Ovis aries: one gene and its partner. The protein of the gene in region 2 interacts with the protein of the main gene of each other region in a pairwise test. Links are inferred from orthologs where the notes say so. Each region holds a gene or a part of one and is shown on either strand. Other genes may lie near its edges.

Region 1 (4,146 bases), on a different chromosome or scaffold from region 2:
GTGGTCTAGTACTTCTGTTAACGGGCCATGTCGTGGTTTTCACATTAGATGGTGTTCGCATTTCCTCTCCAACAGTAGTGGGAAGAAGTTTCTGAAATGTTCACAGGAAATTGAAGTTCCTTTCTGAGCCTGTGTCAGAAATCTGTCCCCGAAGCAAACGGGCTCGAGGAGGTCCCATGACTTTGGAGAAGTGATTTATGTCCAATAATAAATCCTTTTCTCTCACACAAAAATCCTCTGATGGTGGGAGTCCTAACAGCTAGAAACAAAGGCCTGTGAAGATTCACTCTGCTTTGGGGATGCAGCAGGGTAGGTCCTCAGAAAGCATCCTTCCCGTGCTAGCGGAATGCTGTAGAGCGAAAGAATGAATAAACAAGCAAGGTCACTCTTAAGCTGAATCTTGAAAGGTGAATTGGTTTCTGCAGCTGAGAAAATCATTCAGTTTTAACTCCCAGCCACCATCACCACATACTCTAGTGCCACCCATGGAACACTGGAGGTGCAGCAGGGGGAGCCAGGAGGCCGGAAGCCCCAACCCACCTGATGGGACCTAGGCTGAGGGACGCACTAGCTCACTGAGCAGAGATCTGGGGCTCAGGGTTTCTGCAGATTGTGGTGGGGGGCTGTTGATGGGGTTCTGAAAGGCAAGGGAAGGTCTGAAAATAAAGGGTGGCTTGAAGTAAGAGTGGAGTGCCTGAGAAGTTAGGATCTGAGATGTGTAGGTTCCTGAGGAATGCTCTGAGACATGGGAGCCTCTGAAAAGGGGAGGAGGGTGGGCTCTGGCTCTGAGGAGAAGTAAAGTGCCTCTGAGCAGGAGCGGTCGCTGTGAGGAAATGCGGAAGGCAGAGATGTGAGAGATGGGAGTCTCCAAAGCAGAACAAAACTGCGTCGCCCTCTCCGGCTGGAAGAATGTGTGCTTAGTCGCTCAGTCCGATCCCGTGAACTGTACCCCTCCAGGCTCCTCTGTCCATGGGGATTCTCCAGGCAAGAATACTGGAGTGAGTTGCCATGCTCTACTCTAGGGGATTTTCCCAACCCAGGGATCGAACCCAGGTCTCCCGCATTGCAGGCGGATTCTTTACGGTCTGAGCCAGCGGGGAAGAGGGAGGGGGTTAAAATGGAAAGCGCCGTTGCCTCAGCAACCTCCAAAAGAGTCCTAGGCCGTTGAGAGGGGCTGGTGGGGGCGTGTCTCTAGGCGGTGCGGGGATGCTTGGGCGGCGGTGGTTGGCTGGCGGCGGTAGTAGGGCGTGTCCCTAGGCGGGGCGCAGCCGCCTGGCCGTCGGCGGTTGGCCGTAGGCGGCGCCGAGGGCCGGGGCTCCGGGGTGAGCGCACCGGGCGCACGGACTGCAGCAGTTGGCTACGACGTCTGCGCGAGCTCTCCAGGCTCGCCAGCTCCTGGTTGAGCACCCGCAGCTCATGGACGCTCCGCAGCGCCCGCCGCGCCCCGCGCCGCCACCGCCCGCCCCGCGCCGCTCGCCGCCCGGGCCCCCACCGGGCTCCAACACAGGAGACGTCCTGCAGCAGATCATGGCCATTACCGACCAGAGCCTGGACGAGGCGCAGGCCAGGTGCTGGCGCGGATTCGGCGGGGGGCCATCCAAAGTCGCTTCACTGAAGGGGGCGGGCCGAGGGGCCAGGACCGGGGCAGCGGGGGTCGTGGGGGTGAGGAAGGTGCAAGGTGAGAGATGCGATGAGTCTCTGGGCGGAGAGAGGGAGGGCAGGGCGCATGGGAGGGGGAGGCTTGAGGAGGACTGAAGCCGGATTCTGAGGCCGAAGGGACGTGAGGGGTTAAAATGGAACAGATTGAAAGGGAGCTTATGGAGCTAAGCAGTTGAGTGATAGATTTTAAGAGCTCGTCCTGAGGTGAGAGGGATGGGTTTAAGGAGAGTTTGTGGATGGAGAGGTTTATGGTGAAAGGTGGTTTCAAAGTTTATGAAATGTAAGAGGGAAGAGTTTTGGAGATGAGGGGTGTAAGAGCTGAGAGGTGGGTTCACACAGGATTTGTGAATAATGGACAACTGAATGAATCAGTGGTATTTATGAAGATGGGAAATTGAGGGGGCCGGTCATGGAGAATGAGTTGTGGGAAATAAGACTGGAGAATAAAAAGATGGTGTCATTTGATTTGGGAATGATCCAGTAAAAACATCAGTGGGGAAGCTGAGTGGAGACAAAGGATCCCCCTCTTTCTTTAAATTAATTTGGCGAATATTTGTTTGATACTATGTGTGGGGCACGGAGCGGGGTGCTGTCATAGCTACTGTTGTCAAGCTAATTGTTTGACAGAGAGAAAATAATAACAAAACTAAGTTGTGAGGAAAACTGTAAGTAAAGGGATGGAAAGCTGTGGGAAGCCGGGTGGAGAGGGCACCACACCTTCAGAAGCCCCAAGGTGGGAAAGGGCAGGAAGAAAGCAGAGCTAGGGACTGAAAGTCCCCAGTAGAGTGGAGAGAGTCTGGAACCAAGATCATATGGGAATGACAAGCTTCGGGAAGGAGTCTGGGTTTTATTTCAGGTATAGTGGGAAAATCACAGTGGTTTTTATGTCTCACCTCCACCTACCATTTGTCAGCCAGCCAGGATTGGTAGAAGGTGCTTCACAAGGCAGCCCATTATGTTTGGGGTCTGCTTGAATTATTAGAACTAACATTATTAGATAATTAGATAACTAACATGATTATTAGAATTACTAGAACTAACCTTTTAGAACTAACACCCAAAAAAGATGTCCTTTTCATTATAGGGGACTGGAATGCAAAAGTAGGAAGTCAAGAAACACCTGGAATAACAGGCAAATTTGGCCTTGGAATACGGAATGAAGCAGGGCAAAGACTAATAGAGTTTTGCCAAAAAAATGGACTGGTCATAGCAAATACCCTCTTCCAACAACACAAGAGAAGACTCTACACATGGACCTCACCAGATGGTAAACACTGAAATCAGATTGATTATATTCTTTGCAGCCAAAGATGGAGAAACTCTATACAGGCAACAAAAACAAGACCAGGAGCTGACTGTGGCTCAGATCATCAATTCCTTACTGCCAAGTTCAGACTTAAATTGAAGAAAGTAGGGAAAACCACTAGACCATTCAGGTATGACCTAAATCAAATCCCTTATGATTATACAGTGGAAGTGATAAATAGATTTAAGGACCTAGATCTGATAGATAGACTGCCTGATGAACTATGGAATGAGGTTCATGACATTGTACAGGAGACAGGGATCAAGACCATCCCCATGGAAAAGAAATGCAAAAAAGCAAAATGGCTGTCTGGGGAGGCCTTACAAATAGCTGTGAAAAGAAGAGAGGCGAAAAGCAAAGGAGAAAAGGAAAGATAAGCATCTGAATGGAGAGTTCCAAAGAATAGCAAGAAGAGATAAGAAAGCCTTCAGCAATCAATGCAAAGAAATAGAGGAAAAGAACAGAATGGGAAAGACTAGAGATCTCTTCAAGAAAATTATAGATACCAAGGGAACATTTCATGCAAAGATGGGCTTGATAAAGGACAGAAATGGTCTGGACCTAACAGAAGCAGAAGATATTAAGAAGAGGTGGCAAGAATACACAGAAGATCTTCACGACCAAGATAATCACGATGGTGTGATCACTCACCTAGAGCCAGACATCCTGGAGTATAAAGTCAAGTGGGCCTTAGAAAGCTTCACTAAGAACAAAGCTAGTGGAGGTGATGGAATTCCAGTTGAGCTATTTCAAATCCTGAAAGATAATGCTGTGAAAGTGCTGCACTCAATATGCCAGCAAATTTGGAAAACTCAGCAGTGGCCACAGGACTGGAAAAGGTCAGTTTTCATTCCAATTCCAAAGAAAGGCAATGCCAAAGAATGCTCAAACTACCGCATAATTGCACTCATCTCACATGCTGGTAAAGTAATGCTCAAAATTCTCCAAGCCAGGCTTCAGCAATACATGAACCGTGAACTTCCTGATGTTCAAGCAGGAAAAGGCAGAGGAACCAGAGATCAAATTGCCAATATCCGCTGGATCATGGAAAAAGCAAGAGAGTTCCAGAAAAACATCTATTTCTGCTTTATTGACTATGCCAAAGCCTTTGACTGTGTGGATCACAATAAACTGTGGAAAATTCTGAAAGAGATGGAAATACCAGACCACCTGACCTGCCT
Region 2 (4,016 bases):
TGGCCAAGCGTCGGGCATCATGCTGAGAGCTAGCGAGGCCAGTGCCACGCACAGCCGAGTCAGCACAATCTTGGAGCCACTGGCAAAGCGGGTGATCTGGGTGAAGAGCTGTGCCTTTAGGCTCTCATACTGGTCAGTAGGGATGTCACTCCAGTAGCGAGAGATCTTGATGTGTAGGGCGCTGGCCCCAAAGTACTGGATCTCAGGCACCTTGTCCGGCTGCAGGAGCTGCCAGCTGAAGTGCCAGGCCTGAGGGGACGCCTGGGCCTGCATCAGCCACTTTTGAGCCAGGTTCTTGTTCTCAATGTTGGGGTCATAGTAGAGCTGGTGCAGCGCCTGCAGGACAGCACAAGACTGAGCAGGTGCTGGCCACTCTGGTCCTGCCAGAGCCCACAACACAGGCCATGACTCGGTCCTGCAAAACTGTCCTCTCTTTCTGACCAGGGGGCTGAGCGGGAAGGGAGAGCTCAGGCTCAGCAGTGCTTCATGGACCTGGGGTCCGGCCGGGATCTTGAGAGCCCGAACTTGCCCACACTCCACCATAGCCTCTTCTCTTTATAGCAAAAGCTTAGGGGTTGGGAGCGTGAACTTCTGCAGGGAAGCAGCAAAAGAGGAGGCCAAGTTCCCCAAAGGAAAAGCACCTGAGGTAAAGGGCAAGGCCCAGGTGGAAGGAGTGGCTCCATAAGGAAGAAGCTAAGCCTGAGAAGAGCATGGAACAGCCTGAGCCACCCACCGCCTCCAACCCTCCCAGGCACAGCTGCTCTTATCTACTCCAACAGCTCCATTTAGCTCCCCCAGGATCATCCCTAGGTCACTCCAGATGCTGGCACCAAAGCCACTGTGAAATCTGAGCAGGACTAAGACTTTGCCAGGCAGCCCTAGGGCAAAGACAAACTGGAAGGGAGGGTGAGAACACTCCTCAGAGAGCATACAAGAGGGTCCAAAAGCTGGTCCAGAGAAGTCTTGGCCTGCAGCCCTGGCAAATGCCTAGCCTGGAGCTCTCAACTAGCTAAATCCCCAGGGTCCCAATTCCATTAGGACTTCACACAGTAGGAAAACAGTGGTTTATCTCCCTGGAGGCACATGGAACAGTGCGCCACCATGCCAACACTGCCCAGCCCCAAGGGGTGGATGAGTGAGGCCAGGACTCTCACCCCCTAAGCAGGCTCCATCCAAGTAGGTTGAGCCCTGTCTGTACCCCTGACAGCCAGTTATGGCCACTGACCCTTGGGATGCTGAGGCAGGCAGAGAACAGAAGCAGAAAGATGCATCCTTACCACTGGGTATGGTAAACGGGGCTCAAGAATAACAAATGAGTATCTGCAACCATTCCCTGTTTTCCACCACGATAGCCCCTTCTCCCCCATCCACCCCAGGGTGGAAAGTATTTCTACATTCCCAGCCTCTGGGGGCAGAACCCAGCAAAGACACAGAGAAGCAGTTTGAAAAAGACAGACTGAGCAGTGGGGGAGCCTGAGAGTGCCATGGCAGGAAGCCATGTGGGCAGGTGAGTAGGGAAGGACCCTGAAGCTGCCAGCAGGACCAGGCTCCTTGGATCCAGCACAAAACCAAGGGGCCAGCCCTACTTCCGCCTGCCCGGGAGTGGTCTGGCCTCCATCCAATAACCGAAGGACCCTTCTCCAAGGAAAAGTGAAAACACAACCCAGATTGTTTTAGTTTCAGATTATTTTCTGAGCCCCTGCTCAACCAAACAGGGCCAGGATGGCTCAGCATCACTCTGGTTTCTGGAGACTGAGCTGCAAGTCTCCCTCATTCCTGGTTTCTTACTGCACTGCTCATGCATTTCCCATGGAGCTGGAGAGTGGCCAGTCTGGCTGGAGGGTCTAAGCCATCAGCACCCTGGAGGGACCATCCCAAGACCCTAGCGTGTCCACAGAGGACCGGTGTCTACGGAAGGCCAAAAATAGCCTAAGACACCATTGCATTGCTGTCGGCTGGCCCAGAGAGACAGCAAATGCCAGGTGCTCTGGAGGCACCATCCCAACGGGCACCCAGCCCAGGCCTGGGCCCTGGCATTAGTGTCAGTCCCCAGAACTTCTGCTCTGTCACTGGAGTGCCCCTCCCCAGGGCCCTCATACCTTCTCCACGTTCTCCACCGTGAAGTCCAAGGCTGGCGCTGCTCCAGCCCCTGCAGCCCCCGGCTGCTCCTCCCGCCGCTCCATCTTTGCTCCCTCCCCAGCAGGGAGGTGGACCGTGGCCTGTCTCCTGCCCCAGCCTCTTGGCTGCTGGCCCCCTGCTAGACTCCGGCTTGGGTACCCAGGAAGTGGTGGGGTGACAGGGGTCCCAGGGCGAGCATGGCTGCCGAGGCCGCCCCACCTCGGTTGAGGGTGGGGGGCTAGCCAGAGGCCAAAAGGGGTGCTCTTAGGAGGAGACCCACTGAGGGGAACTCCTAGGAGAAAGCCGTCAGTGAGGAGTTTGCAGGCGGGGGTCCTGATGGTAGATCAGGGTTCTGTCCCCAGAATCTATGAAGAGGGAGTCATAGGGAATCGAGGCCTGGGGAAAACCAAGGGGTCACAGGGTCGATGGCCTGTACCACAACACCCTAGTGAGATCTCGGGTTCTAGGAGGAGGTCACGGGGGTGGGAGGTTACGGGGGAGAGAGCCCTTCGCGGGTTACGGAGGCGTCCAACGAAGCGCAGGGGTACAGCTTCGCAAATCTCGGGCGAAGAGTCCGTGGAGTTAAGGGGCTGTGGCAGGTCCCCTCGGCTCCGCCAGGCCCGCGCTCTTCTCACCCTCCGTCTCCGGCCCTGCTACCGCCGCTGCCTCCGCCCCAGTGACTGACAGGCGAGCCGGCCCGGCCGGGACGGGGCGGGGACCTCAGCGAGGCACGGGCTGCCCCAAGCGCCTGTCCGCGGCACCGCCGACTCAGAAGCCGTCCCTCTCGGACCCGCGCCTGCCCTAGCCCCACCCGGCCGGCACAGCCCGGCACGGCACGGCGGAACTGCGCGGAAACTCATTCCGGGTCCCCTCTCGTATCCTCGCGCCTGCCCGCGCGCCTCTGAGCAGGCCGCGGAACGGCGCGCCGCTTGAGGCGGCCCCCCTCTTCACCACCCGAGCTAAGGCCCCGCCGCTGCGCACCCTGGGAAATGTAGTCCGCATGGCGCCCAGCGGGAAGGCGGTGCCTTGCGGCGGAGGCCGGGAGCACGTGGGTTGAGGATCAGCCGAGCCCAGGAAGCCTTAGGCCTATTGCGGCCAAGTTCGACCGGCTAGAGGCGCTGCTGGCAGCTTCCTAAGAGGACGTGAGTCTAGAGGCCGGCGGGATAGAGCTGGGAAGCCAGGCTGGAGGTTAAGGTGTGTGTTTGGGAGGGGACCGAGGGGCTGGGGGGACACAGGTTAATCTGGTGCTCCCCTGGCGGCAAGACCTCGGTCCCAGGAAGGGTACTGTCGTGAGAACACCGAGGAGGAAAGGGGCTTGGCGCGCCTCAGGAATAAAAAAGGATGGCTCTCAGGGCCACCCAGCGAGCAACCGGGAAACTACTTACCATGGACAGTGCTTGGAGAATTTCACTAGGTTCTCGGAAGCAACTTCTCTTTGTGAGTCATTAAAATAGCTGATATTTAAGTGCAAGGAACAGCACATTGCATACCTTAAGGCCAATTCTCGGAGCAACTCTGTGGTGGGCATTTTCATTCACTATTTTCAGATGAGGAAGCCGAAGTTGAGGAAAGTTGAGCTTATCTTTTCGCTGGACACACAGCGAGGGTAGCAGAGATCAGCCACAGATCTGGTTGGCCCAAGTCGCCAGCAGTCTCTACCTCAAGTGGAAAAATAAAATAAAATAAAAAAGGAAAGGACCTCTGTTCTTGTGTTCAGTGGAGGAAGCCACTGAGGCCTGAGGTGGATGAAGGCTTCCCTGAGGAGGAGAAACTTGATCTTAGCTTGAATAGCAACAGCAAGAGGCTGGGGAGGAGGAGGCTTGATTAGCTGGTAAGCAGAGTCCAGTGGGAATCTAGTCATTCAACAAATCTTTATCAAGAAAATGTTTGAAGTACCG

What was found.
Region 1: the proteins of IPO13 (region 2) and PBX4 interact in binary tests that used the Homo sapiens proteins (3 or more experiments, as listed by UniProt). The link is inferred for Ovis aries from reciprocal best matches to the Homo sapiens genes IPO13 and PBX4.

Annotation. Positions count from the first base shown.
Region 1 is NC_056058.1:3,519,146-3,523,291, forward strand, and holds the start of PBX4 (pre-B-cell leukemia transcription factor 4), read left to right. Parts: upstream 1-1,346; 5' UTR 1,347-1,416; coding exon 1,417-1,568; intron 1,569-4,146.
Region 2 is NC_056054.1:18,587,192-18,591,207, reverse strand, and holds the start of IPO13 (importin-13), read right to left. Parts: upstream 2,801-4,016; 5' UTR 2,184-2,800; coding exon 2,100-2,183; intron 337-2,099; coding exon 1-336. UniProt on the Homo sapiens protein: Functions in nuclear protein import as nuclear transport receptor. Serves as receptor for nuclear localization signals (NLS) in cargo substrates.